Linked DNA regions of Arabidopsis thaliana. The protein of the gene in region 1 interacts with the protein of each later gene in a pairwise test. Each region holds a gene or a part of one and is shown in the gene's direction. Other genes may lie near its edges.

The links.
Region 2: the proteins of AT3G13672 (region 1) and AT1G17970 interact in a two-hybrid assay, tested with the Arabidopsis thaliana proteins (one large-scale study listed by BioGRID).
Region 3: the proteins of AT3G13672 (region 1) and AT5G63370 interact in a two-hybrid assay, tested with the Arabidopsis thaliana proteins (one large-scale study listed by BioGRID).
Region 4: the proteins of AT3G13672 (region 1) and CSLC6 interact in a two-hybrid assay, tested with the Arabidopsis thaliana proteins (one large-scale study listed by BioGRID).

Annotation. Positions count from the first base shown.
Region 1 is NC_003074.8:4,472,195-4,478,215, reverse strand, and holds AT3G13672 (TRAF-like superfamily protein), read left to right. Parts: upstream 1-3,851; 5' UTR 3,852-3,872; coding exon 3,873-3,971; intron 3,972-4,042; coding exon 4,043-4,675; downstream 4,676-6,021. Other genes in the region: AT3G13680 (F-box and associated interaction domains-containing protein), read left to right, coding at 1-682; AT3G13677 (uncharacterized protein), read right to left, coding at 1,124-1,414, 1,609-1,659, 1,747-1,920; AT3G13674 (uncharacterized protein), read left to right, coding at 2,335-2,492, 2,679-2,788, 3,187-3,206; AT3G13670 (Protein kinase family protein), read right to left, coding at 4,982-5,041, 5,140-5,328, 5,432-5,589, 5,699-5,789, 5,877-6,021. UniProt on the Arabidopsis thaliana protein: Probable inactive E3 ubiquitin-protein ligase that plays a role in regulation of autophagy. Upon starvation, involved in maintaining ATG6 homeostasis by competitively associating with ATG6, a component of the autophagosome complex.
Region 2 is NC_003070.9:6,182,097-6,189,712, forward strand, and holds AT1G17970 (RING/U-box superfamily protein), read left to right. Parts: upstream 1-2,620; 5' UTR 2,621-2,935; coding exon 2,936-3,508; intron 3,509-4,074; coding exon 4,075-4,239; coding exon of another isoform or gene 4,240-4,311; exon of another isoform or gene 4,312-4,563; coding exon 4,564-4,662; intron 4,663-4,747; coding exon 4,748-4,882; intron 4,883-4,971; coding exon 4,972-5,106; 3' UTR 5,107-5,377; downstream 5,378-7,616. Other genes in the region: AT1G17960 (Threonyl-tRNA synthetase), read right to left, coding at 1-3, 85-177, 273-359, 450-482, 726-820, 877-949, 1,099-1,399, 1,511-1,641; PAPS1 (poly(A) polymerase 1), read right to left, coding at 5,646-5,685, 5,784-5,851, 5,937-6,782, 6,873-7,037, 7,115-7,444, 7,531-7,593.
Region 3 is NC_003076.8:25,382,037-25,390,633, reverse strand, and holds AT5G63370 (Protein kinase superfamily protein), read left to right. Parts: upstream 1-3,372; 5' UTR 3,373-3,841; coding exon 3,842-5,680; 3' UTR 5,681-6,146; coding exon of another isoform or gene 6,147-6,331; 3' UTR 6,332-6,464; coding exon of another isoform or gene 6,465-6,594; 3' UTR 6,595-6,824; downstream 6,825-8,597. Other genes in the region: AT5G63390 (O-fucosyltransferase family protein), read left to right, coding at 1-122; AT5G63380 (AMP-dependent synthetase and ligase family protein), read left to right, coding at 608-1,663, 1,803-1,992, 2,359-2,504, 2,578-2,645, 2,719-2,821, 2,928-3,053; AT5G63375 (uncharacterized protein), read right to left, coding at 6,147-6,331, 6,465-6,594. UniProt on the Arabidopsis thaliana protein: Cyclin-dependent kinase involved in pre-mRNA splicing. Required for the correct splicing of the sixth intron of CALS5 pre-mRNA. May stabilize the binding of U1 snRNP to this rare type of intron with a GC 5'SS.
Region 4 is NC_003074.8:2,333,909-2,342,201, reverse strand, and holds CSLC6 (Cellulose-synthase-like C6), read left to right. Parts: upstream 1-3,033; 5' UTR 3,034-3,259; coding exon 3,260-3,961; intron 3,962-4,220; coding exon 4,221-4,529; intron 4,530-4,815; coding exon 4,816-5,106; intron 5,107-5,206; coding exon 5,207-5,320; intron 5,321-5,448; coding exon 5,449-6,081; 3' UTR 6,082-6,590; downstream 6,591-8,293. Other genes in the region: AT3G07340 (basic helix-loop-helix (bHLH) DNA-binding superfamily protein), read left to right, coding at 1-7, 97-165, 291-362, 486-701, 793-874, 971-1,014; AT3G07320 (O-Glycosyl hydrolases family 17 protein), read left to right, coding at 8,277-8,293. UniProt on the Arabidopsis thaliana protein: Probable beta-1,4-glucan synthase rather involved in the synthesis of the xyloglucan backbone than cellulose. Seems to work simultaneously with xyloglucan 6-xylosyltransferase.

The DNA of each region.
Region 1 (6,021 bases):
GTACGAAGTCTACGATTTTAGCTCTAATTCATGGAAGGTTCTTGATGTCATTCCTGAGTGGGATATACAGTCTCATTTTCGTGGCGCGTCTTTGAAAGGGAATGCTTATTTTCCTGCGCAAAAGAAAGAAACAGTGGGAGGAATAAAGACAATAAATATTGAAGATGTTCTACTTTGTTTCGATTTTACAAGGGAGAGATTTGGACCGCCTCTGCCACTGCCGTTTCACTCTTACAATGCAGACTTTTTTGTGTCTCTAGCTTGTGTTAGGGAAGAGCAGCTCGCTGTGTTATATCAACGCTGGGGGGCATTTGAGACAATCGAGATTTGTGTTACAAATAAGATTGATCCCAATACGGTTTCGTGGAGCAAGTTTTTGATAACGTCCACTGGTTTTCCGGTTGACACTTTTTCTGGGAGCTTTTTCATTGATGAGGAGAAGAAAGTTGCTGTGGTTTTTGATTTAGATAGATATAAACCGACTGAGACCTGTCGCTACCAAATAGTTTATATTATTGGACAAGATGAATACTTCAAATCTGTCAACATGGGAGTTGCCCCAAATATCGCGAAGAACTCGTACCAAGCTTACTGTGTTCCACTTGTGTGCTCTTCTTCCTATGTTCCAAGCTTAGTTCAACTACAAATCAACAAACCGGGCAAAAGGAAAGAAAGTAACTAGTTCCATTTACACTACTTTTTATATTTTTCTTGCATCATCTTCTTTTGTTTCATTCCATTGACTTTGATGTTCTTTTGAACGATCATTAACTTGTGTTTTGCTATTTATCTGCTTATAAAGAAGTGGGGGGTTTTGTGATACAATCAGCTCGGCCTTTAACTAAAATCATACTAGTTGTTTAGATGTAGGAGTCCATATGGAAATAGATAGATAAGTTAAGAGAATCATTTACTGCCTCTGTTTATAAAAAAACACTCGAGGTATTGGAAATGTTTCATTTGTTTGATGGTTTGGTGGTCTGATGCATCGTGTTCTGTGTTTTGGTTTCTTAAACTCTTGAATGAAATTAGGCATAAATTTTGAGTCTTCCCTCAGCTTTATCCTTGAACAACCTTTTTAACATCTTGAATTTACCCATTTGGAGTACACAAATGCAACCATTCACAAACCTTCTCCCACATTCGCGCCAAGGACAATTCCACCCATGCCACGCTTATAGCTTAGCTTGGATTGCTCCCATCTCTCGCACTTCAAAACATAGCTTCTTTGAATGCAAGACCAATATACAACTCCATTCCTAACGATTAATGGGCGTCTCACTTCTTCTCTGAATGTGCCATTTACTTCCAATTTGAGCGACTTGTGGGTTTTCATCATCCGAGTGTCACTATCGGGAAATATGTTACGGCCTAAAGGAAACTCATCCCACAAACTGTGGTATATTATTCTCAACTTCAAACTCAAACCGTTTCATTGCATCCTCATCCAATTGATCAATACAAAGGGAAAACTAAAACATACAATTAAAACCAATAAACACCAACTTCTTAAGAAACTAGCTTGTTGCCATGTCATTAATCAACAAGCAATCTCGAGTAAAAAGTTATATTACATTAGTTCCTTATACATCAAAATCTGGATTTTACAAGGAGAGCTGTGTGAATAGCAATTCCAACTCCTTCTCTTGAGACAATGTTCTCTGTCCAACAAAGAAACATAAGTTAGTTAGTTTCAAAGGTGTTTCATATAGAGTAGTAATGTGAAGAAGAAGAGGATTGACTTACTTGGACAGATAAAAGGTCGTTGATTTTGTTGAGAACCTTGAGACGATGAACTGCATAAACACTGTTTGATGGAAGTTTACAAACCCTTTTGATCTCTTCCTGAATCACACTCGATTTCTCATCACAATCCATCTCATTCCATCTTTCTCCCACACGATTACCTCTGCTTCCCATTTCGTAACTGATTCCTCAGCTGAAACTTCAATAAACAGACATATACAATGAAAACGGAATCAGTTATTACAAAGATAAAGGGCTCGAAAAATAACAACTTTGTGTTCGATCGAAAATAGAACAAAACAGAACAGTGGGAAGAAAGATTGAGTTTTTACATCAAGGGTTACGAATTCAGAGCTCGCAGTTTCCGATTTTGTCACACTCAAGAGAATTTGCGAAAAGAAGTGATCGAGAATTGTCTTCCAGCCCTAAATTCGACACCGGTCTTCTTATCAAATAATTTTGGCTTTTTCAGTTATTTACTTACCCGACCCGTAAACTAACCTGTAACCCGACCCGGGACCTAGCTCACTAAGAACCCTTTAAGCCCTAAAATCTCCGATCACATCTGAATTTTGCTTCTTCCTGGCAATGGCATCTTCAAGAGTGTTAGGCAGATTCTCGTCTCGATTAAAGTCTCTATGTCAAAATCTCAGCAACAAGAATGCCAATGTTTCATCACTCCCCTCTCCCATCAAATCTGCATCACCTTCCTCAGCAACTAGTTGTCGTCTCAATCGATCTTCAAGGTTTGTCTTTTGTATCATTTCACACTATCAAATGGAGAAGACAAAAACCTTCTTTTTTCCTCACTATCAATGGGTCTGCAACAATGTAGATTACTTGCTGATAATTTTGAAATCTGAATCAACAAAGTCAAAATCTTTCTAAGCAAAATTACAAATTTGATGAACTTGTTGGATGGTTGTTTTCAGATTACCAGTGGAGTTGAGCTCGATGATACCTCTGCACAGTGCTATAGCATCGTCCAGGCTCGTCTCAAGTTTGTCCGTTGAATCCAAAATCTGGGGATTAGTTCCTCAAGGTCAGTTTTTGTTTTGTTCTTGAGCACTGGAATTACCATTTGGGTTTACTTTACATAGGTGTATCAGCACACAACACATTCTGTTGTTTCTCTGTGTTGCAATTTGTATCCTTTGTACTGTGTATATGGCGATAAATGTGATGATGCATCAATTTGAATCCGATAGTTAGCTCTACGGATAAGGATGTACATAAGTTCCTTTGATAAACTTGACAGCAACAGAAGTATGTGATCATATAGCATCATCATTTGTAAATCTGATGAAGTTGAACCCTTTTATGTTTGTGTATGGATCTGAACTGATAAAATCACACATTACTTCTAAGTTTGGTTTTGATAGAGTTTCGTTGCTTAGTTAGTTCAATAGATTGACATGAATCTTTTCTTTGGAATTGCAGGTCTTTCATTGCCTTTATGACAGTTTTCTTTTCTCATCTTACAACAAGTTTCCAGGAGGATAGAGACATAAACGAAGCTCGGATTGTATCGTTCTTTTTAGCTTTTATTCACATCCGAAAGTCCTGTAGTTTAGATTCTGTTATCTTGCGGTTTTGAGTTAATCAGAAACAGAGTAATCAATGTAATGTTGCAGGCTAGATCTTTCATCTTTGGAAATTTATTTTTTTCTCATGCAATTTCTTTAGCTTGACCATGAGTGACTAAAAGATCAATCAGTAGCAATGATTTGATTTGGCTAAGAGACATTTGTCCACTTGGCATCTTGATTTGGATGGTTACAACTTGCAAGACCCAATTGGATACTTGCTATGACAACTCCAACTCAAGAGTGTCGTGTAACTAAGAACCTTGACTAATTTGTAATTTCAATCCCAAGTCATGTTACTATATGTTTTTTTGTTTGTATTATTTTCTCTCCTACAATTAAGCTCTTTGACGTACGTAATCTCCGGAACCAACTCCTATATCCACCATTTACTCCACGTTGTCTCCAATTATTGGACGTTGAAACTTGACACAACGTAAACGTATCTATGTGGTTGATTGTATGTACATATGTACAAACGTACACCTTTCTCCTCTTTCACTTCATCACTTGGCTTGTGAATTCATTAATTCCTGCGAAATGGAACCTCGAATCAATGACCTTCAGGTGGAATCTCGGGTTCATGAGTTGCTCGATTTTCCGGTTCATACAAACCAGATATCCTCTGCAATCTACGAGGTATGTATATCATATCATATTGATACTACTACAATAAGAACACAACAAGTAATATACAGATCCTATTGCAGTGTCCCAACGACCACATCGAAAACCCTAAGAAGAAACCGTACAATTGTCCACACTCAGGAGCCAAGTGTGATGTCACAGGAGATATTCAAAGGCTACTACTGCATCTAAGGAATGATCACAATGTTGAAATGAGTGATGGGCGTAGTTTCAGTCACAGATATGTTCATCATGATCCTAAACATCTTCATCATGCTACTTGGATGTTAACAGTAAGTTATATAACTGATTATCTTGCTCTGTTTCTGCAACTTTGTGAATTTTTAAGTTTTAACCCACTTGAAACGATGCAGCTTCTCGATTGTTGTGGTCGAAAATTCTGCTTGTACTTCGAAGCGTTTCACCTGAGGAAAACACCAATGTACATGGCCTTCATGCAGTTTATGGGAGATGAAGAAGAGGCAATGAGCTTCAGCTATAGTTTGCAGGTCGGAGGGAATGGCAGAAAGCTGACATGGCAAGGCGTGCCGAGGAGCATTCGTGACAGTCACAAGACGGTTCGTGATAGTCAAGATGGCTTAATCATCACTCGCAAATTGGCTTTGTTCTTCTCTACCGACAACAACACCACCGACAAGGAGCTGAAGTTGAAGGTTTCAGGTCGTGTATGGAGAGAACAGCCTGTTTCGATATGAATTCGATAATTAGGTTACAGAATTGGACAACTATAGAATATTTGGTGACAAAAATATCTTTTCTTGATTTAAAAATTAAATATAGCAATTTCGAGGGAAATGTGTAGGTAAACTGGTGATTATGGCTCAATCCCCTTCACAAGGGGGGAATAAACAACACAATCACCACATTTTTGCTTCACAATTCAACTGAAAAAAAAGAAGAAGCACAACAGAGCCTGAGAGGCCATAGGGTTGGATAAGGAATAGGAGCCGAGACTTAGAAACATATTTCTCTCGTCCTTCAACAGTTTTTACTAATAAGTCTCAAGATACAGTTCGGCCATAGCTTAACGATGCAAGGTAGAGATTCTTTCCCCATTTTTCCTGCACAACAGAAAATTGCATCTCCGGTATTGTTCATGGGAAGGGAGAAAAAGAGTTCAAGATATTGATTAGTAATCTTTTATAGCTGCTCTACTCACCTTGACGTGTGTGCTGGGGAATTGAGAGGTACGTAACGTCTCTTGTGTCTCATCAACAAGTCTACGACGTGGGATGCTTAGGATGAGAGCAGCTTGATCGGTTGTGGCTGCTGTTGATGTGATTCTGAATCCACCATCCCAACGCCTGTGGATGCCTTCACTTGGATACAGAAAATCAAGTTCCACAACCTGTAGAGGAGATATAAGCGAAAACAGGAGAATTAGAAATCAACGCGACAGATCCAAAACTGAAGGAAACGGAAGAAATTCATCTATATCGGTGAAGTCTAACCTGTTCACTGTAGCCAGAATTGCGGGACATAACAACACCCCATCGATTTCCAGCTGTTGCCATTGAGGTTACATGGAAGCCTTCTCTCCATTTCTTGTTTATCCACTTGAACGGGAATGAATCGCTTACTTTGTAAGACTGCTGTGTATACTGCGTACCTTCATAATTCATTTGAAAACCAAACATAGAATAAGCCACAAATTCAGAGACTAGTAAAATACCATAATGACGAAAGTGTTCAAAAGTATTCATGAAAAGTGTAGATACCTTTTGACATGACAACTAAGGAGCTTCCATTGCTTGCACCAGCAATAGAACTAATGTAGTAGTTCTTCTCCCACTGCTCCATAATCCATTCCTGATTCAAAACAGAATTCACTCTCAGGTAAGATCATCTTGACAGAACACAGATATAAAAATAACTAACAGAGAAACATCAGACAACCTTGTGCAAGAATACAGGAGAGAGTTCATAGACTTGGTGCGTGAAGCCAGTTCCAGCATCCATTATCAATGCCCAGAGATTCGAACATGATGATACACAGCTTATCAACAAACCATCTGCAATACCTCTCTCAATATGCTGTGCC
Region 2 (7,616 bases), on another chromosome or scaffold:
TATCTTCAGAAAACATCACACTTTAGAATCTCTCTATGAATTATAAAGTTTTGAGTAGAAGCATCAGAAAGTAGTGACACATACAACCCATGGCTTTCCAAAATCATCTAGAGCTTTTTCAAGATCATTTTCAGCTTTAGCCCATGTTTCCAAATCTCCAATGTGATCCTTTGGCCTCTGAAGTCGAAACCAACATGCAAACAATGAGATACGTGACCATACCATGCAAAGTATATTAGGTTTGGCAGAGAAGAAATGTGAAAATATCCTACCGTTGAAAGCGTTAGTTCATAGGTAAACCCAAATATTCTGTAAACATAGTCAATGAAATCCAACACACCCTTCACTTCTTCCTCAACCTGCAAATAGATAAGAATATTTCTATAAAATAAGAAACTGGGAGGATAAGGAGCTCCAACGTTGCTGCATAAGAAACAAATATCACAAACCTGATCCACTCTACAGAATATGTGTGCATCATCCTGAAAACAAGTATGCACAATGTTATTTAATTAAGCAACACGCGCACAAAAGGGTTAAAATCAAATTGACAAACTACTAAGTAAAGTAAAGTAAAGGGGTAACTTCTTCACTTCAACATGGCAAATAAGCTGCTTAACTAATCATGATATCATTTTGAATGTCGCTAGTCTTTATATAAAGCAATCAATTTTTAAGTTTTAAACATTTTACCACAAGAAAAGTCCAGAAAGATGCAAACATACCTGTACAAACCGTCGGACACGGGTCATTCCACCAAGTGCTCCACTGTCCTCATTTCGGTGTAACACTCCAAATTCGGCCATTCTAATGGGTAATTCTACATTCCATACCGCAAAACAAAAAAGATGTCAGCAAAAGATATATATGCAACACTTGCTTCGATGTTTGGAAAATGATTGTCGTTTAATCCCAGCTCGCCATAATAAAGTGAATCGTAATAGAAGCCCTGCAATAACAATTACCATCAGAGATAGCCCGTCTTTGCAACATTACAGATGAAATACCAAGAACCAAACAATATTGACTCCTCCTTTTTTTACTCTTTTAGCCAAAGAAACATAATTAAGGGGAAAAAACACAGAACAAAGCTCTTACTTCATCTCTGGGTTCGCAGGGTCCAATACATAGCTTGCATCCATACTCCTGCTCGAGAGCCTGGCCTAGAATGTGGGCGCTAGAATGCCAGAAAGTATTACGGCCTTGGTCGCTGTCAAATCCGAAAATCTCTAAGGAACAATCACCTTCCAGGGGCCTATTCATGTCCCACAAGACATGATTAACCGAAGAAACCAGAGCAGATTTTGCTAAACCCTTAGAAATCTGCACTGCGATGTCCATTGGAGAGGTCTCCCATCTCCTTCCTTCTTTCTCGATACCGTCGGGGAGAAGAGTAATCCTAAGCAGTGAAACAAAAACCAGAAATCAACTAATTGCAAAACCCTAGCTTAGCAAACAAATTGATGCACCCTAGTGAAAATGATGAACAATTAATCATAAACGTATTTACTTGATTGGATCGTGTGGCCGAGATTGAAGCTGCTCAAGCTGCTCGGCTTGGATTTCCTCGAAGAGCCTGATACGCTTGGGGATGACGGATGAGAGATAAGCCTCATCCTTGGGATGATGATTATTCGCCATCGATGGATGAGCAGAGAACGAAGGACAAATAGAAACTATAGAATATAGAAGATGACGTTGAGAGCAGAGGAGTAGATTATCCCAAGGTCAACTTCCCTTTTATAGCTACAACACTAAAGTGACTTGCGGGCCAAGCTTTAGAGCTTTTCCTTTCATTTTTTGTAATAAGGTAATAACAACAAGTGGCAGATGCACCTAACTTTACATAATTTCCTTTTGTATTTAAATAATTTTCTACAATATTTATAATTTCTTTTCAATTGAATTGTAGTTTTGTTGATAAAATGCAAATTAAAAGTATATGTATATAACCTATTTTGGCGTGACTTTCTTTGATTTAATGTTTCACATTTATATTTGTTGCATTCTCAATAATATCCAAATGACCATTATTAGGCCTATTAATGTGGAAGCTATAAAATCAGTTTGAAGTGGGCTTATTATTTGTAGTTTTGGGCTCTTAAAAGCCTATTAATGATGAAGCTAGAATCAGTTTTGCAACGTTCTCGGATGGTTTCGTGTTACAAAAATGTAGTCGGGTTCGATTTGGTTGAACCGGGTCTGGTAGACAATAATGTAATATTGGAAAGGAAAACGGTTCAGGCTTCGTGGCGATGAGCATCAACCATCAAGGCTTTGCTGGATGTCTTCAAAGCTCAAGAGTGCCAACTTTATGTATACGAGGATTGTTCAAATATTAAAACCAACCAAAGAAGTGGTCTTTTGATGTTTAAGCTTATCGTAGGATGTTTCAGCTGGACTTTGTGTCTCTTCTTTATCTCTACCAAAATAATATCTAATCACTCTCTCTCTTTTTATTTATTTAACAAGATTGTTTCGACTTAAAAGAGTCATGTAGTGACTGACACCTTTCCTATTTTTACAAGCAAGCATCATTTTAAAAATTTTAAAATTTACTTTTCTGGAATAGAAAAACCAAAAATAAGCAAAATCATTAAACTAAATTGCCCAAAAAAAGTTAAAAACCCAGAGAAATACTCAAATTAACCTAAACAATATCTCTTATAAAATCATTATTTCTAATTTGGTAGTATTCACAAAAGATATGCATGAGCTGATTTTGTTTGGAATCTCATACTAATGGTTGCATGTAAAAACAAAAACTAAAAAATCTTTAATAGTATTATATAGGAAAAGCTATAATCATTATACAAAAACTGTATCATCATCATCATCAAGCTTGAAATCACTCTCTTTCATCCTTCCCCGCGCACTGTGTCTCGCTCTCTCTCTCCCACATTTCCATTATCTCCTTTACTTTCTTTCTTTGAGAATGTCTTCTACAACAATCGGCGAGCACATCAGACTCCGACGAGCTAGAAACCAAACAATCCGTCATCTCCACGCCGCCGACGATGATCCGCCGCTAAGCCACGTCGTTCTTCCGATTTCACAACCTAATCGCTTCTGTAACTCCGCAATGTCTTCCTTCTTTCCCCTCCCGACTTCCTCCTCCAACGAAAGCACGAGGAAGAAACCGTACCAAACGTCGTCGTTTCGAGGGATGGGTTGCTATGCCGCAGCAGCAGCAGCAGCTCAAGAGGTTTCTGTTCCCTCCGTCATTCGCTACTCCGCGGATTTGGATGCCAGAATTAGAAAAGATAAGAAGAAGAAGAAGCATAAGCATAAGAAAAAGAAAAAGAAGAATAAAGGAAGCTACGAAGATGGTTCGATTAGGATTTTAAGCGAAGAAGCTAGAGACGTTATTGATGTTTGGTGCAGACCTGGATTAGGCTTCTCCACGGATGCTGTAATTGGTCGATCGGTTGATCCTCCTCGGGGAAGGAATATTCCGTCGTCTCGTCGCAAAATTGATGTGGATAACAACAATTATAATCACACACTGGTAAATTGATCTAAAGTTGGATGATGAATTTAGTGTTATTATGTTATTGACTTTGACTTTGAGGAAATGGTATCGTTTAGGCAGAAACTGTGTGGAGTGGTTGGAGCTCTAGTGGTTGTAGTTAGCTCTATGCCAATTGCTGGGCCATTGTTAGTTTGGTTTGGTTTATTAATATATGTGTTTGGATTCTCGTTTAGACAAATCATAAGGGTCTACTTTAGATGTAGCGGTTCTCTATTATTAGTTTTTGTTTCATGTGAGGATAATATAGAAAATTTCTTTGTTTGACGTGCGGGTGGTTCTTTTGGGTTTGATGCTCAATAAACTAATCGAACTCTGGTTTGGTTAGAGAATGGAATCTTATCATGCTTTTGTCTCGTTTAGCTAGAGGATGGAATCTTAGCATTGTTTAAGTTTCTTTTTGGTTGGATTCAATTGGTTAGGGGAGTTGTTGGATTTATTTTGATCAAAGAAACGCATTGCTTCAGAGGACTTGAAAATTAGGAATCTATCATCATGTCTAAGTGTTTGAGAAATGATAACACAATGCTACAAATGTTCTGCAGGGTTCTTCTGTTCTTCCCATTCGGTTTCTCAATCAAGAAACTCATTCTCATGATATCTTCAACTCTGATTCTACTTTTGTGACATCATCACGCGCTGAACCAACGATGTTGTCAAGTAGATGTCGTGGCCATCTTCCACGCTCTTACCCTGATGATCTTACCGAGGTAGAATGTTCTTGCCAAATAGTTGCCTTGTCTTTCTTGCATCTGGTAAATGTTATAGATTTGACTTCTTAGTTTATTAACTGATCACACTCAACACTATGTTAAGGTTTGACTTGTCACTTGGCTTCATATCAACTAAGAGATTATTCTAGAGTTGTCTCTTACATATTCTAGTGACTGATAGAGTGGAAGACAAATAATGTAATCGTTCTCTTTGGTGCTGTATGGTGCTGTAAAACTGTTTTGGATGGCTAATAGCAAGTGAGCAAGTTAAAGAACTAAACCATGCAGCTAGTGTAGTCATGTTCCTGCTGTTCACTGCAGATGAGGATGCTCCAGAATGGTTTTGTAATGGGAAGAATAACAGATTCCCGTGATAACTACCACGAATTGAGGCTCGATGTTGATAGCATGTCATACGAGGTATGTTTTTCAAAATCTCATGAGAAAAACACTTGCAATCTCATCTTCTCAACTTTATCGAGTGTGTTTGCTTTGGTCTACGCAGCAACTTCTTGAGCTTGGTGATAGAATTGGTTATGTGAATACTGGACTAAAAGAAAGCGAGATACATCGTTGTCTTGGGAAAATCAAACCATCCGTATCACATACTCTTGTTGATAGAAAATGTAGCATCTGTCAGGTAAACTCCAGATTGAGTCAATGGCTTCTCGAAACTTCAGACAGATCATGAGTTTCATAATGCTATTCCTTATTGTTTGATGGTGACAGGATGAGTATGAGAGAGAGGATGAGGTTGGGGAATTGAACTGTGGACACAGCTTTCATGTCCATTGCGTGAAACAATGGCTTTCGAGGAAGAATGCTTGTCCGGTCTGTAAGAAGGCAGCATATGGCAAGCCTTAAAAGACTTTTGTATCTCGTCGGGTTTCTGATAGCTCAAGATCTTTCAAGCCACCTTGCTGTATAGAGATCTGTATCATCTGATACTTGATTCATATTTGTTGTTTTTGCATTTAGCAATCACAATTTTTTTTTTTTAAGATCTTATATTCTTTGTTGGGTCTATTTATGTGATTGAAATCAAGAGTTTGAAATCTATGTTTTCTGTTGCCTAGGTAGATTTAAGACAGGTAGAGAGTAATTTAGCATATAGCATACACGCACGTAACTAAGAATCAATGTTTTAACGTTTGAGTCTGCATTTATATATATATGTGAAGTAAACTCAACCCAGACTTTTATTTATGACAGAAAAAGTGTTTGGGATCCATAGACAAGAACACATTACATTAATCTTATCCAAACGAGTTTTACATGAGATCATGCAACATCTAAGAAAAGCATATAAATATAAGACATAAAGTAACAAGAACCCCTCAACTTAACATCTCGAATTTCCGTAAGTGCTCTGAGATTCTTGGCAATGTAGGGAAAAGCCATTATTACTTGCCATTGGTTTTGCCTAGAGACGTGAAGCTCAATCTGCGAATAATCAGACAAACAAAAACAAACAATCTTTGTCAAAATCCAAAAATGTATATTCAAACGTTAAGAGTAAACATAGACACAAAATCACTTACTTGATTATCGGTTTTCGCTGTTGTACTGAAGGTCTATGTGCCGCATCGGGCTGTCGCGTGGGAAGAACCTTTCAACAAAAGAGAAATCAGACAGGAGGAATAAGATCAAGAGAACAATTTATGTATCGAAAATTGATAAGAAAAATAAGAAACCTCAAGTTCTTCCACTGCTTCATAAGGGAAAGGAGAGCCATTTGAAGTAGCTTCGAATGGAGGTATAGTTGCAGTAGCAGACAGGACTGCAACTTTATGAGATATCTGCTCAATCACTTGGTTTCCAAAATCAAAACTTTCTTCAAGCTCCTCAGTTTCATGAGCTTGAGGAGTGGCTATCTTTTCTATCGGAAGACTCTCTGGTGGATCCTTACTGAAAGCAACAACATTTTCTGGTGGATCCTTACTAATAGGCTCAGATTTACCGTTTGTACAATAATCTTTCATAGGACTTGAACAAATTGATCCAACAGATGGATTTGGACTCCCGCCTTCACAATTCTCTACAGGCACTGAAACAGCAATGTGTTTAGAGTTCCTTGGCTGATCGGTGAGTGTTTCACTATCTCCCCATTTTCTCTTCTTCCCATCAACTGGACTGTTAGAACCAGCTTTACTTTCAGAACTCATTTCGGTAGTAGTGGTAGTAGCAGCTGGTGCACTTGATGTAGAAGAATTTCTGTGCTCTGAACGGCGATTGCTGTCCCATGTTCCTTTAGAGGTATGTGAAGGTCTAACTCCACCAGGAAACACAAAATTAGGTAAGCTTCTCCGTTTTATATGGCCAACACTAATCTCCATCCCTGGAATCCACAATGTGTAAGCGTTGACAGTGTGTTTAAACTCCTCAACGGTTCTTCTGATATCGAATTGCTCGCCTTCTGCTGCTGGAACTCCTTGTTTACGTTGCAGACCCATGAAGTAAGAGCAATGGAGTGGCCGGGATGTGTCTTGAAAATCATGGGGATGAGGGTGGCAATGAAGCATTTTAAAATGTCTCTCGATCTAAGATTACAATGCAAACATCCAAGACAAATCATTAGCAAAGCAAAATCAAGAGAAACTATTCAAGTTAAAGTAAACATGGCTTTTCACCTTCAGTGTGAGCTGGCGGAGGCGTGACTCAACCCAGCCTTTCCATTTTCTTAGATCATCGACATTTGCAGCAGAAATGTCTATCTGTAGATAGTTTTTATACGCTTCAAAGAATGCAAATGGCTCAAAAAGGGTATCCCAGTCAGCTTTGTTTGATTCCATAGCCTGCAAGACATCAAGCCGTTGTAATAAGTCCATGAATCTGCATAGAAGCCAACTATTTGGACTTATCGAAATCTTACCTCACATATTTCGTTTCCTCTCTGAAACTCTCCTTTCATAATCCGCAATGTACTTTCAGAGACATTGTAACTAGAGTTCATACAAGGATAAGCAGGAGTAATGATGGGCATTATATGCAACCGATCCTTTGGGTTTATTCTAGGATCCCAAACTTGAAGACCAAGGGATCCTTCATCCGGAGAACAAAGAAAAATGGCGTTCGGCCAATTCCATTGATAGAAGACCCTAAAGAACCGAGACACTAAAATATTAGGGAGGGCGTTAGGATAAAGTTGACATATCCGAGCTACAAGCAATGCCCAGTTTATACCACCAAGAAATCCCGAGACCTAGCAATTGTCAGAAAGATACTTTACTTAAGCAACATGATAGTCACATAAAAAATAGAAGAGCATTATAGAAGAATTCTCCATACATTAGAGTATACTCCACGTCGTTTGGCCCAAAATCTCATGCATCTTAATGTTGTTCTGAAATTCTGCTCAGAAACAAAGAAAAAAA
Region 3 (8,597 bases), on another chromosome or scaffold:
ACCGTAAGTCCCAAGGCTATCCTGAGTCACGGAGAGGGCGGAGAGATCGTGACGTGATAGCTTATCCTGTCCCGGAGTGTATGTGTCGACATAGAAAACACAGGTCTGTAGGTTTCTTCTAGGTCAGGCTCATTGCTTCTCAAGGCAGCGATTGTCACAAACGCTGGTCTATTGGTATAGCTCGGTTGCCTTGCTCCTCAAAGCAATACTAGTCCAGCTGCAACCAATCGGCGTTAGACACGTGTACATATAAATCTACTGTAAATGTACAGATTCCTTTCCATGTTTTGCGTACAAAATTTCATCATTCGTACAAATCACTGAGCTCTAACTAATAAGAATGAGACACGTGTAAAAAGATTTATGGCCCACAGATCTTTGACGAAAGAACGTTGATACTTGACAGCCTTTTTAGTTATTTTGTTTAGTAGTTTTGTAAACAAAAAACAATATAATAAAATCGATTTGCCGTTAAAAAAAAAAAAAAAACATTGATTGGTTTAGGGATTGCCACGTATGCATTAATTTATGTGAGTTCATATCTTCTCGCAGGCGCGCATGTTCACCGCCGACGAAAAGATTACTGTATCTCTAATCGTCTTCCAGAATGCTGACGAAAACCAACGACAGCCGTTTGATTGACCGGAGCTCCGGCTTCGATCAACGGACAGGAATCTATCACAGTCTTCGTCCCTCTCTTTCTCTACCTCCTATAGATCAACCTCTCTCCGCCGCCGAATTCGCGCTTTCTCTCCTACTCAAATCCTCACCACCTGCCACCGCCGGGAAAAACATTGAAGCCTTAACCTACCTAGTTAACTCGAGCTCTGGTGATAACCTCACTTATGGAGAGCTTCTTCGTAGAGTTCGTTCTCTTGCTGTATCTCTCCGGGAGCGATTTCCTTCTCTTGCCTCCAGAAATGTCGCTTTTATCCTCTCTCCTTCTTCGTTGGACATACCAGTGCTTTACTTAGCTTTGATGTCGATCGGTGTTGTTGTTTCACCGGCGAACCCAATCGGATCTGAATCGGAGGTGAGTCATCAAGTCGAAGTCAGTGAACCAGTAATTGCGTTCGCGACATCGCAGACGGTTAAGAAGCTTCAATCCTCTTCTTTGCCTCTCGGAACTGTTCTGATGGACTCGACTGAGTTTCTCTCCTGGTTAAATCGATCGGATTCTTCATCGGTTAATCCATTTCAGGTTCAGGTCAACCAATCGGACCCTGCCGCTATCCTCTTTTCCTCTGGAACAACCGGGCGGGTCAAAGGCGTTTTGCTCACTCACCGTAACCTAATCGCCTCGACCGCCGTATCTCACCAACGGACTCTCCAAGATCCGGTTAATTACGATCGCGTTGGACTGTTCTCGCTTCCGCTCTTCCACGTGTTTGGTTTCATGATGATGATTCGAGCCATCTCGCTTGGAGAGACATTGGTGCTTTTAGGGAGATTTGAACTCGAGGCGATGTTTAAGGCGGTGGAGAAATATAAGGTTACTGGTATGCCTGTATCTCCTCCGTTGATTGTAGCGTTGGTCAAATCGGAGCTCACGAAGAAGTACGATCTCCGGTCGTTGCGTTCCCTTGGCTGCGGAGGAGCTCCACTCGGCAAAGACATCGCAGAGAGGTTTAAGCAGAAATTCCCAGATGTAGATATTGTACAGGTAATAACTGATAAGACAGTTAGTGTCAAAATATGACTTTGTATATAGGACTGTGTCCAGTTTCATGATACTTGGTTTTCATCAAGATTTTGAATCATTTATATGACTTTTAACTTTCTGGTTTGGTGATGGCTTACAGGGCTATGGCTTGACAGAGAGCTCGGGACCAGCTGCCTCAACGTTTGGACCTGAAGAGATGGTAAAATATGGCTCAGTTGGTCGTATCTCTGAGAATATGGAAGCCAAAATTGTTGATCCATCCACCGGAGAATCCTTGCCACCGGGAAAAACTGGTGAACTCTGGCTCCGAGGACCAGTCATCATGAAAGGTATCATAAAACATATGCAATAGTTGAGGAACATGCAATGTGCTGAGCTGGTGTAAACTAAATGACTTTGCATATAAGAATCTAGGACTGTCAAATTATATCAAGACTTTGACCATTAATGTGACTTTGCATATAAGAATCTAGGACTGTGTCAAATTAAATCGAGACTTGTGACTTTGCATAGAAGAATCTAGGACTGTGTAACAAATGCAATAGTTTGAGGAACATTCAAGAGCTTTCACTAAATGACTTAGCATATAAGAAGAAATCTAGGACTCAGTCGGATTTCATGATCCTTGAAGTCTAATGTCTTCATCAAGATTTTGATCATTGATGTGACTATAAACCTGTGATTAATGGGCACAGGTTATGTGGGAAACGAGAAAGCGAGTGCGGAGACAGTAGACAAAGAAGGGTGGTTAAAGACTGGTGATCTCTGTTATTTTGATTCGGAAGATTTTCTATATATTGTTGATCGGCTAAAGGAGCTAATCAAATACAAGGCTTATCAGGTAAATTTTACGAGTCAGAAGAAGAAGATATAGTCTTTAGAGTTTAATATTAATCAAAAGCGTCATCTTATAGGTTCCACCGGTAGAGTTGGAGCAGATTCTTCACTCGAATCCAGATGTGATTGATGCTGCAGTTGTTCCGTGAGTCTTTTAAACTCAAATTTGTAACTTCTTGAAATGTGTTTCTGATACTGACATGGATCATGAATTCAAGGTTCCCTGACGAGGATGCAGGAGAGATTCCAATGGCTTTCATAGTGAGAAAACCAGGAAGCAATCTCAACGAAGCGCAAATCATTGATTTCGTAGCTAAACAAGTAATGCTCATTGCTCTAGAATGTTGGTTATATTAATTTTTAGTACAAGTAGACAGAACAATTAGATTTGATGTTTTGGTTTGCTTATGTAACTATTTGTGTGTAGGTTACTCCGTACAAGAAGGTAAGACGAGTTGCTTTTATAAATGCAATCCCAAAAAATCCTGCTGGCAAGATTCTGCGTCGGGAGCTTACTAAAATCGCTGTGGATGGCAATGCATCAAAACTTTGAGATAACCGGCTGGTTCATATATTATTGTGTCGGTTTTCAGTGAAAATGGGATCTAATTACCGGTTCAGACGAAATGTAGCTTACATTCTTACTACACAAGATTTAATGTAATATTGACCGTTCGATTAACAACGTGAGTATTATTATTTATAGCATCGTCATTCGTCACCGTCACCGTCCAAACAATAAACGACTAGTTTCGTGTTCATTAATTAGATCCAACGGCTGTAATACGTAGCTCACGTTCTTTTGGTACACCCGCAAACATTAGATAAATCTGTGAAATAGAAAAGGGAATTATTGGAGCAGCCGACCTATTACGATTATAAAACAAAGGGTAAAGTAATAATAGAGCCACTTGACAAAATTGAAAAACGCGTCTCCGAGAGGAAAATTTAGAGAAAAGCTTCTCGCGATCGCATCGGGCTCGTAGATCGATCTCCTCCTCCATCCAATCTTCCGTTTTCGTATTCACCGTCCGGTAAGACCTTCCGGTACTTGTGAATCGGAGAAGAGGAAGGAGAAAAATTATCGCGTTCCTGGAAATTGAATTTCTAGGGTTTCGTTTTTTTCTGAATTATTCTGATTCTGATTTCGTCAAGGGTGTTTTTCTTAATTGGTTGATTGATCGTCTTTCTAGTTCAATTGTTGAAAAGTAATTGAACATCTATTGAAATCTGCTTCTCGTGATTTGATTCTGGGTTTCGTTGATTGGTTTTTTTCGAGGGGTTTGTTTGTTTTATCCTTTTTTATTTCTATAAGATCAATTTCTCATTGAGAAGAATACGATGGCAGCAGGGGGTGTTGATGTTTCCAGAAGTTCCGTTGCTGTCAAAAAAGACTACGACTTTTACAGGAATGGTTCTCGTGATGTGTATGTTCGACAGAGTGGTAGAGATGACGAGAGGCGTCAAATCAAAAGGCCTAGTGACCATGATCTCAGGAGGAATGATGGGCGTCACCGATCACGGTTGGCATATGAGAAAGGGGAACTACGGGAGGAAGCAGAGGTTCAGAGACCCTCTGAGAAAAGGAGGAAGTTTTCACCCATCGTGTGGAATGCAGAAAAAGTGGGTAGAGCTCCATCTAGGGAGAAGACCAAGTCTCCTTTCCCTGTTCCGACTACAACTGTGATATCCAATCAGGCTGTTGCTGGTAAGACTACTTCAAACGATCAAGTGAATGCCTTGATGTCGCCAGAACCTAGTTATCTTGCTCCAGTGCAGCCTTCAGAAGCCCTGCTGGCTGTGAAACATCCTGTTGATGATTTGGAGGAGGGTCAGTTGGAGGAAGAACAGGTGATGCAGGAGGATGTAAAGGAGGGTCTGTTGGAGGAAGAACAAGTGATGCAGGAACCAAATATAAAGACATCTAGGTGGGGGACAGGTTTGACTTCCCCAAAGGAGGAGTTAATATCTGTTAACGTTTCCAAGACTAATAGATGGAACAGGAGCAGTTTGACACCGGAGTGCGAGGAAGTAATGGTGTCTGAAGAACAGCAGTGCTATTCGTCTGGATCTGGCAGTGGACATCTCAGCGTAGAGAAGCTTAGTGCAGATGGAAATTCTGGTCGTGAGTATTATAGTTCTGATCATGATGAGTTAGAACATGAAGATCAAGATTCTTTAACTCCGGGAGAGATGAACATGATGTTTGGGAGCAGGTCTGTGAATGAATTTCAGAAGCTAAACAAGATAAATGAAGGAACATATGGAATTGTTTACAAAGCAAGGGATGAGAAAACAAAAGAGATTGTTGCGCTCAAAAAGATCAAGATGAAGGAAGATAGGTTCGAAGAAGAGTATGGATTCCCTTTGACATCATTGAGGGAAATTAACATACTTTTGTCATGCAATCACCCTGCGATTGTGAACGTGAAGGAGGTTGTGGTTGGAGGGAAAAACGATAATGATGTTTATATGGTCATGGAACACTTAGAACACGACCTGAGGGGAGTAATGGATAGAAGGAAGGAACCTTTTAGCACTAGCGAAGTCAAGTGCTTGATGATGCAGCTGTTGGATGGTTTGAAATACCTCCACACAAATTGGATTATCCACAGGGATCTGAAGCCATCTAATCTTCTGATGAACAATTGTGGGGAGTTAAAAATATGTGATTTTGGGATGGCGCGCCAGTATGGGAGCCCTATCAAGCCTTACACCCAGATGGTTATTACCCAGTGGTACAGGCCACCTGAACTTCTTCTAGGAGCAAAAGAGTACTCTACAGCAGTTGATATGTGGTCAGTGGGTTGCATTATGGCTGAACTGTTGTCTCAAAAGCCTTTGTTCCCGGGTAAGAGTGAGCTTGACCAACTTCAGAAGATCTTTGCGGTCCTTGGAACACCAAACGAAGCAATATGGCCTGGGTTCTCATCATTTCCGAATGCTAAAGCCAAGTTTCCTACACAGCCTTACAATATGTTACGTAAGAAGTTTCCAGCTATTTCATTTGTAGGTGGTCAAATTCTTTCTGAACGTGGATTTGATTTGCTGAACAGTCTACTAACTTTGGACCCTGAGAAACGTCTAACAGTGGAAGATGCTCTCAACCATGGTTGGTTCCATGAAGTCCCGTTACCAAAATCCAAAGATTTCATGCCGACATATCCTCCAAAGCGGTAACTGAGAAAAAACGTGCTATCATTTGGACGAGAGGATGTCAACAAATACACAGGGAAGTCGACTGGTCGTATTTTGGTATTTTCCTTTTTACTCAAAAGACTTGCTTTCATCTATTCTTAACTCAGTTGCGTTGCTTTGTTGCCTGGAGATTCAGGGCATTCTAGTGTACCATTTATTCGGATTCATGTGTAAATATGAGTGGTCCGTAAAACTGAAAGGTGTGTTTCTCTCTTTTCGTTAGGACCCTAATGTTATTGCTATCAAGAGTTGTACACACTATTGACTCACATGCTTTAATGGAAGAGATCTCAGTATTCACTTTCTCTCTCTAGTAATTGGGTTGGGATGGTTATTGTTTATGTCCTCATATTTCTTCTGTGCATTGTTTTTATTCACGAGGTAAACGCAAAGAGTTTATCACAAACGTGAGAATGGAAGTTGACATCAGTAAGTTTATTTTGATTACTTATTTACCACGCTCTGTTATCAATGTTGGTTTGTTGTTCGACGTCCCTTTGTCTTTGAGGTGCTCGTATTTGGTCTGTTGGCAGTGAGAAAAAGATGATTCATGATGAGTTTCTGTGGACATAGGAGGTATGGCAGTGGTTTTTTTCATGTTAATCCGAGAATTAAGGGATTTGGGATAAAAAGCTATATAGAAAGAAGCTAAAATAAGTTTGTCTTCAACACTATAACCCTTTGTCCTCCTTTCTTTTTAACTTCTGTAAACAGCTAAGCTAAATCAAGTTCATTTCAATAACGAATAAACTAGAATCAGCATTACCTTTGACGAGGCCATAAACAGAAAGGATATTACACAACACACAACAGTGATCAATATGAGGAAAAGCTTCTTTTGCGAGATGATCTGCATCGTTTCGGTCCTTAGTCTTTTGCTCCCAGCTCCTTACCATATGTCATTGTGCAGCTTCAGCTGTCTATTACCATTTAACAATCGGTAATGTTTCAACAATCACTTTTGTAAATTCCCTTTCCCATATTCCAAACTCCTGTAGAATCAAATCTCATATTGTAGTTGGAATTTTTCAAAACGAGGTTTCTAAATTAGTTTTCTCTATATCAGATAACCAACAATGATATTTTGTTCGAACCTTTGGTCGATTAAAGAGAACAGATAATGATTGCCACATCATCTGATTTCTCTAATGATACAGAATTTCATAAACAAATATATAGAAACGAAATACTGATTTATCAAGTTTAAAATTAACTAAAGAATGCCCTAGTCATGGGTCCTCCTTTCCAAAACTGTACAAGTGTCCCAGACAAAACGACCAGTTTAAAAGCCCTTATCGAGACATCACACATTACCTTTTTTAAACTTTACCGACTCTGACACCATCAGATCCACACGTGGCGAGAATTCATTTGGCCACTTTCCCCAATTAGGGTTCTTGGGCGTGGTTTTGATGGTGATTCAGTCTACCTTTTTCTCTCTGTCATCGAACCTCTCTATATTTAGTATTTCCTTATCTTCTTCAGCTGTCAGATTATAATTGGGTGAACATGTTCGATTTTATTGTTTAGTGTTGATAGGATTTAGTACTTGTCTTATATTTATAAAATAAATAGCCAAGGTTTGTCGATGGTGAGCATTTAAATTCGGGGTTCTTTTTTTTGTTGTTTGAATTAGTAACTAACGATGTTTTATCATTGGTTCCTTCATATCCAACGAAATGACAAAATATCACCTTTTTCTCAAATTTTGTAACTATTGATTCTTAAAAAAACATGGTACATCTGTTAAGTGTCTGTAATTTTTGATGTGTTTATGTATAGTTTTAATTTTTTTACATCAATGCATAAAGCGAAATGTTTTTGGTCATGTATATACAGTATGTGTTTTTCTTACAACAAATATATTACTGATGATATACGATTATATATATACGTATATAATATATGATTAAGAAATGATATGTTATATAGTCCGTAACGGATAAGATTGCTTTGTCCCATATGCATATTATATCATTAATGATATTTTTCATTTTTCGTTATTCATCCGTTATATTTTTCATTTTTCATTTGTCCCATATGCATATTATATCAGTAGTATGTTTCGATGGTGGTTTTATGTTGAAACTGTTGGCTATCGTATTATATAATTAATTAGGTATAGAATCAGCAGGTGAGGGTGAGAGCAAAGGTAGTCAATTTTATTCATTTGTTTAATATATACGTAGTAATCAATGTCTTTAAGCCAAATATAATTTGATCTGATCCAACCCAAAAAGATTGTATTTGTGCATCCTTCTTCTTTTAGTAACTATGACATGTTTTTGATAATTGCATTTACTATCTGTAGGGACGTCAAGTAGAACCACTAAAATCATCTATACTTTAATGATCAAGATTACATTGTTGAATTAAAACTTTAGCTACATCAACTCTATACGGTATATCGTGTTTTCCTTGCAACAAAATATGTAATAACGAAAAATGGAAGATGAGATATCGAATGTTAAAGAATCAAACCTAACTCTCAAGTCTCAACATCAGTCATCAGTTTCGTCCACATTCATGAATGTATAAATATATATGGACTAATTATTAAGCCTTGGTTAATTAAATAATGAGATTGTTTGTGTAAATTATAGTTGTAAGTTGATAAGCTAATTACATATCTCTACGTGTCCTCTTGCGTGCAACGTACAACGCAACACAAACCCATCAGATTTTTCTTGATGCCATCTCGAACTGCCTTCCGAATCTACTTTATTTCTATGTTACTATATTGGATTTTTAATAAGATTTTGACTCTCATGTCCATATATACTTTTTCCGAATCAATTGTATGATTATATTTAAGATGGCTCCATGATACCGTCACTCCCTCATGATTTTTATTTATACGCCATCCAATGTTCCTTCTTTCCCTTTCATAAAAGAGGTG
Region 4 (8,293 bases), 2.1 Mb from region 1:
CAACAAGGTGAGAGTTTGATTAAACAACTAATTAACTCGTTTTTAGTTGTACTAATATAGTTGTGATTAGAGCAATAACAAATTTACTTTTTAAAGGTTACTGGAAAAGCACTGATGTTGGATGAAATTATAAACTATGTCCAATCATTGCAACGACAAGTTGAGGTAATTACTCATTAGATTATTGGTCTACTTTAAACTCTTTCCATTATTTCATAATCACTTTTTAAAACAACTACACGACTTCGAATAATTTTTGTTTCTTAATTTTAATTTCAAATATGGTGCAGTTCTTGTCGATGAAGTTATCGTCAGTGAACACCAGGCTGGACTTTAACATGGACGCTCTCTTGTCTAAGGATGTAAGTCACCGTCACAACATTTATAGTAATTTTAATTGACAATTATTGTAATAATAATTACTTTTTTGTCTTTGTGAACCAATCGTGTGTTTGTTTAAACTAATTTCTTTTGTTTTCTGACAGATATTTCCTTCAAGCAACAATCTAATGCATCATCAACAAGTACTTCAATTAGATTCTTCAGCAGAAACGTTATTGGGTGATCATCACAACAAAAATTTGCAATTGAACCCTGATATTTCTTCTAATAACGTAATAAACCCTTTGGAAACTTCTGAAACTAGAAGCTTCATTTCTCACTTACCAACACTTGCTCATTTCACTGACTCTATTTCTCAGGTTTCCTTTTCTAAAACATTCTTCTATCACTTTTCTTTTCTTTTTCTCTTCAATTTGAAGCGGTCTTAACCCTTTTTGGTTTTGTTTTTAGTATTCAACATTTTCCGAAGATGATTTACATAGCATTATTCATATGGGTTTTGCGCAAAACCGTCTCCAAGAATTGAACCAAGGTAAGAATATTTAAATCATATTTTTTCTTTCCATTTCATTATATAGGCAGGACCGTTTAGATATGATATGTATAAATTGTACTATTATATATGCAGGTTCATCAAACCAAGTACCATCGCACATGAAAGCTGAACTTTGATCAACCACTATATGCATTTTTACAAAAATATTGGCGTTTTAAAGGTCTCGAGGATAGAAAGTAAGAAAAGGATTGATGGGTGTACATAACAAGAAATTTGAATTGGACCACACCATATGCGAATTCATTTCTATAATCATCTTCATATACATAACTTCTTCTTTTTATCCTTCCGATTCATTTGTGGTGCTCAATTGTATTGTCATGTTGTTATCCGCTATTCTTCTTCTTATCAGATTCTTTAAACTTTTCTTGTTTGGATTTAATATCATTGTATGTTTTAACCCCACTATAAGTACTATAGCTATAATTCTTCCGAACAACAAGACTGTTTTTATCAAACCCATTCAGTTCTTGTAACAAAAAAACATCAAACTCTTGAAAACGAAAAAATAATTCGGTTTTCTTATAAAGAGTTTGTATGTGATAAGAAGCTAACAAGGACAGATCATTCCTAGAAAATACACATTTTTGGTGAAGGAAAAACAACAGTGTGTTGCAAAAATTGATAGATACTAAGTAAATTTTCTTATTTCAATTATCAAAACTATATAGCTTCTGCATGTTAGGTGAGATTTTGTAGTTTATTTATGTGTATTATTTCCTTATTTATTTTTGGAAAAGGTATTTAATTATTTGTTAAAGCGTATGAAATGTTAGTATGCAGTTTTTGGTTGGAATACGATTTAACATTGAAACCAAAAAGTTGGTATTGAGTTTTTTTCGGCAGGAGTTACATAGCGTGACAACTATCTTTGTGCTAAATTACATGTGTGTAATTTGCTCAAATGTACTATTTCCAACAAATATAATAGGTACTACAGCATATTCACAAACATCAAATCTTAGCTAAGCTTGACTTTTTCAATATACACTCTCAAGTCTTAATAACTCGTTAACGTCAGTTTCAATGTTAGATCATATTTGATATATGATTTGATCGTTGCTAGTGTTAACCAGCTGTGTAAGGTGTTCTGTCATTTTCTCCATTGTCTTTGTGGGAGTTATTCAGAAAACAAAGATACATTAGAAAGTCTAATATGAGTGGTTATGAGCAAAAAACCAAATTTGATTAATTAGGATTATGATGTAGGGATCACGCCGTGATTGATGGAAACTATATAGAACAGAGAAGCGTCTCTTTCTATTTACCTACTATAGCAAAGAGAACCCGCAACAAGTTATCAATCAAGCAAAAATTAATGTCTAATCAAAAACCATCTATCTCAAGTTGTTGATAATATCTTACATGATCATAAACAATTATACCGCAGACCGGCCGGATACTCGAAAAATTGCAAATACATTGGTCCTGACGGGGTTGAGTGGATCACATACTTGAAAGAAAAAAAAATAGCCGTTTCACACTTATCTTCTTCTGCGTTGGTCGTTTAATCCTGCTTGAAAAAATATTCGTTAGAATGGGCCACACAATCAATACGCACTGTGAAAGCTAAATTTACGAATCTTAAATATGCTATGGGCTAGTTCTAAAACTTTTTAATCTGTAGAATTTTAGTGAGCTCTTTGTGTGGTGCTTTATTTGTCGGCCCAACTAAACACACGCTAACAATTCCTTTTTTTTTTTCTCTCACATTTTATTTTTTTAATAATAAAAAAAATAAATGTTACGGCATGGTTATATCATATATTTTAATTTCATGGAGGATATTAGATTGTTCCCATTTTCTATTCATCATATTAGATTAAATAATTAGAAAATACTATTTTTCTGTCTCTATTGTAGTGGTATGTATGATTGGAGAGTTGATGAAAATGTAAGCAAGTAAAATCATCGTGCAGATCGCGATGCTATGTTTATTATCATATATGCTTAAAGGATCATTTGAGATTAATACCGCAATCAGCGGGTGAGTAAGAAACTTAAAACACATAACTACTCTCTTTGTCAATGGAAGACCCTCTTAAGCATCTAACACATGATTCGTCTAGACAACCATTTAACTCTAATTATATCCCCTAATTGATATTAATTAAATCAAGAGGACAAAAAAAATTAAATCACTTATAAATATTAATTTTATAGATGTATATTTTAAAAAAGAGAAAAAAGAAAAGAAATGGGAGGAAGACACTGGGACGAAAGACGACGTCATCTATTGTTAGTAAGTTTAGCCCAATCGTGTTCTCTCTGCGCTTGTCTCCCAAATTCTCAGATCTAATCAGATCGACGATTCCTGATTTCATCAGCTTCGAGAGAGATCCTTCTTTTGTTCTTCGTTGAATGTCTCGCTCCCAGAACGAGGAGTTTCAACAATGGTGGAACAAGCAACGAGATAGGAACAATCACGACGTTCTTTACGCCGGCGACGATGAAGCATTCCTCACCGTTGAAATCCGTACTCCGGCCACCGTTGACCCTGATAAGGATCGGATCCGGACTCGTACCGTTCGTCAGCTCTCTCGTCTCTACCTCCTCAAGTTCAAGCAACTCGCATCTTCCTTCCTCTGGATCGGTAACTCTTTCCTTTACCTTGTTCGCACCGCCAATCGCCGCATTGCCAACGATAATCCTCCATCCGTGTCTTCCTCCGCTAGATTGTACCGTTTAATCAAGGGATTTCTCGTTGTTGTTGTGCTTCTTCTCTGTTTCGAGCTTGCCGCTTATTTCAAGGGATGGCACTTCACACCTCCCTCTGTTGCCTCCGCCGAGGTCGCTGTGGAGGTGGTTTACGCTTGGTGGTTGGAGATCAGGGCGTCTTACCTTGCGCCACCGCTTCAGAGCTTGACCAATGTATGTATAGTTCTCTTCTTGATTCAATCGGTTGACCGTCTGGTGCTTGTGCTTGGATGCTTCTGGATCAAGCTCCGCCGTATTAAGCCTGTTGCATCTATGGAGTACCCGACTAAATTGGTTGGAGAGGGAGTTAGATTGGAAGATTATCCAATGGTGATTGTTCAGATTCCTATGTGCAATGAAAAGGAGGTAAGAACATGTATGTAGGTCTCTAATCCGTAGTTGTATCTAGCTGTTTGAAGTTGAATTGGGAATCAAGCATCTCTAGGTAGGATTTGTTGCTATGTTGACCCGTAATCTCTAAGTGTTTCTTATGCGGTTTCATATCTGAAACTTATTGATAGTTTTAAATATGTTTACTTTGATCTGCCTGCTTATTCGTATTTAAATCCTTGCAGTTCCGGTTCTGTTATCTCATCTCGTTGATTTTGGTTTGTGGCACTTGCAGGTTTACCAACAATCTATAGGAGCTGTGTGTATGCTTGACTGGCCAAGGGAAAGAATGCTAGTTCAGGTTCTTGATGACTCCAGTGAATTGGATGTTCAGCAGCTTATAAAAGCGGAAGTACAAAAATGGCAACAAAGGGGTGTTCGGATAGTGTATAGACATCGTCTCATACGTACTGGTTACAAGGCTGGAAACCTTAAAGCTGCAATGAACTGTGAATATGTCAAAGACTACGAGTTTGTCGCCATATTTGATGCAGATTTCCAGCCACCTGCGGATTTCTTGAAGAAAACTGTGCCTCATTTTAAGGTAAACAATCATGTCTTTTTGTCTCATGTTCATAGGAGAATGTTAGGTGACCAGTTGGCTTTAGAAAGTGGTTATACCCTGAGCTTAATGGTATTCGGTTAGAAGTTGGCAGTGGGAAAAATGACATATATGGCATAGCGTGTCTTCCACTACATATGTGTGTCTTGATTGCAGTGGTTCTAATGTTCTATGATGAAAATCTGATGAAAACCACATACTGAGAACAGTGATACAATATGCTTGCCACACTAGCCTATCTCACCCGACAGTTTCTGTGTTTTTTCAGGGTAATGAAGAATTAGCCTTGGTCCAAACACGGTGGGCTTTTGTGAACAAAGACGAAAACTTGCTTACAAGACTCCAGAACATAAATTTGTCTTTCCACTTTGAAGTTGAACAGCAGGTCAATGGTGTTTTTATTAACTTCTTTGGCTTTAATGGAACTGCTGGTGTTTGGAGAATCAAAGCCCTCGAGGATTGCGGGGGATGGTTGGAGCGAACAACTGTTGAGGACATGGATATTGCCGTTCGTGCGCATCTTTGTGGATGGAAGTTCATTTATCTGAATGATGTTAAGGTACTTATGTTAACTAAATTGCTCAGAAGTTTCCTGTTATTTACCAGATGTTAGAAAACAGAACTTTTTGATATCATCCAGCTGTATTTTCCTTCCTCAGTGTCTCTGTGAACTTCCGGAGTCCTATGAGGCATATAAAAAACAGCAATACCGCTGGCATTCGGGTCCAATGCAACTGTTCCGTTTGTGCTTCTTTGACATTCTTCGGTCAAAGGTGAAATTGAGAATTATATTGAGACTGTTTTCCTCTTGCTCTTCCTTGAGAATATTTTATGTTTATGAAGTTTTCATATTGATAGCTCGGTCTGATCTTAATCTGGCATTTTTTTTTCTCTACTACAGGTGAGTGCTGCCAAGAAAGCAAATATGATATTTCTCTTCTTCTTGCTACGGAAGCTTATCTTGCCATTCTACTCATTCACGCTCTTCTGCGTCATTCTTCCATTAACGATGTTCTTCCCAGAGGCTAACTTACCATCTTGGGTTGTTTGCTATATCCCTGGGATCATGTCCATCTTAAACATCATCCCAGCCCCAAGATCCTTCCCTTTCATAGTTCCGTATCTCCTTTTCGAAAACACCATGTCAGTTACCAAATTTGGAGCCATGATCTCTGGTTTGTTCAAGTTTGATAGTTCTTACGAGTGGGTAGTCACCAAAAAGCTAGGGAGATCCTCTGAGGCGGATCTGGTTGCATACGCAGAGTCCGGCTCTTTGGTTGAGTCCACAACCATCCAACGATCATCCTCTGATTCAGGTCTGACCGAGCTTAGCAAACTAGGAGCAGCAAAGAAAGCTGGCAAAACCAAAAGAAACCGTCTGTACAGAACGGAAATCGCACTCGCGTTTATCCTCTTGGCAGCCTCGGTGAGAAGCTTGTTGTCTGCGCAAGGGATCCATTTCTACTTCCTCTTGTTCCAAGGAATCACGTTCGTTATTGTCGGTCTAGATTTGATCGGGGAACAGGTCAGTTAGTTTATATAACCCTTTTTCTCAGTTTAAAACTACATTGAACCATACCACCAGAAGAACGAACAAGACCCAAAGATCAAGTCAGGAAGGAACGAACCAACTCACTCGCAGGTCTTTTCGTTACAGATAGATACATAAAAACAATTCATTTAAAGTTTCTGTCTTGGGAACATGATTTTATACTCTACTTGGGTTGGTTTAGATTCTTCCTTTTTTTACGGATAGTATTAGAGAATGGCAGAAACAACCGTCGGAGAGGATTCCAAAGACTTGCCTACCTGTCTTTGTTGTGGTATTAAGCCAAACCTTGGTTTTTTTGTTGTGCAAAAATTGTTGTTAGGTTGTTGGTTTTTTGTTTCGGATGATGTGGCAGAAACATATTTTAAGCTTTGCTCTAATGCCACTCTCAAATTCTTTGTTGTTGTTGTTTCTCTCCTAAGGGTTCATTTATTTATATACACACTTCTGAATTGAAATGTACCATTTCTTTTTTAAATCTGTTGTCTTCATCTTTTAGTATTTGTTATGCTAATTTTGGGCCTCTTCTATCTTAAGTTATAAGGACCAGAATCTGTTTGACAATCTCTTGTATGATTTAAGGCCCAATTTCCCTCAGCTCTCTTAGATCAAGCACAAATGATTCGAGTTTTGTGATTGAATTTATACGAGGAACTTTTTTTCCATAAAAAGTCAAAACACAGATGTTAAAAATTGTCCGACTGCAAAATGTATAATGTACAAACATATGACATATGTTTCGACCTAACAAGTCTATTGCATGTATTCCTGCCTCGGAGGGCGTAAACCCAGATAAATCATTGCAGGCTTGAAAGAAAATCGTTGATAAAAAACACTGTTGAAAACAACTTATCAAACAATTTACATTGAAGACGATATGCTAAATTAAATATTTCCTGACAGATATAAACCCAGACCTAATATTAATGTACTCCAGCAGAGAAAATATCTAACAAAGTGGAAATCTCAGAGACAAAGAAAAAAGGATAAAAGGATAAAAGGAAGAAGAAAGAGAGAGCTTGTCCGAGAAGGACTAATAATGGCGTTTTTTTTGTTTCCGAATAATTATGGAAATCTTCTCTCAGATATTCATATCTCTATCCGACTCGTACATGGTACACGTATCTATACCCGCAGAAATCGAAACTATCATACCTATAAATTTTAGATTATTCCGGTTGAATATAGGTTGGTCGGTTTACCGGACCAGAAATTTATGATTTTTTAATCATTATTATAAGAAAAATGGGATCTAGAGCATAATGTCACGTCACATCATTAAAGCATGAGAACGTTACTTTTTCGTTTTTCTCAACGCTCATTAAAGCTTTTTTAGTTTCTTTATTACAAGACGACCGTTGAGATTTGTTCAGAATTAAGACACCAATAAACAGTCTTGTACTACTTAACTTACATAACCTTTTCATCACATAAATCTCTTCGTGCCAACTCGTTTAGAGCCCCGACAATCACACTTTTAATACTTTTTCTAAGAATCAACGTTTATAGTACTACAATGAACAGTCAACGAGAGTTTCCTGAGAATCTGTCAATATTTTGTTCCGTTCATTAACAACGAGAGTTGAACTAAAAAAATCCATAGAGAACAATTCTTCATTTATCCACCTACTTCATTTCCCACGAAGCATAAGGGTCCATAAATAATCTCAACGACATGTTAATTATTAGACCATGAAAATTTCTTTAATTATTAACCTTTGTAGACAAAATGTGAGAAATGTTTTTAGCAATAGTTTATATCATTTAAGATTTAAAATTATATTTAACACCAAAAACAGAAAGAATATTTTTCACTAAAACATAATTTATTTTAAAACAACCTTTAAGAATTGGCTAGAAACAGAGTTTTTCAATTAATATAACCATTCAGACTAACCAAAAAAAAAAAAAAGAGAAGACGTCGTAGTAATCGTACACTTAAAAAATTGAATATAACTAGTAAATACAAAAGTTAGTAATACATTGTATCTTTTGTTGATTTAATACTCAAAAACAGGCTTTTGTACAGGAACACGTAACACTAGCCATTAAATATCTCCACTCTTCTTTCTTCTTACCAAATTACTCAATCCATCTCCCTCTCTTCTTCTCCTTCTCCAAACAACAAACCAAAGCTTCTCTCTTTTCTTGCTTCAGAGAGACCTAGAAGAGTTATCAACATGAGTCTTCTTCTACA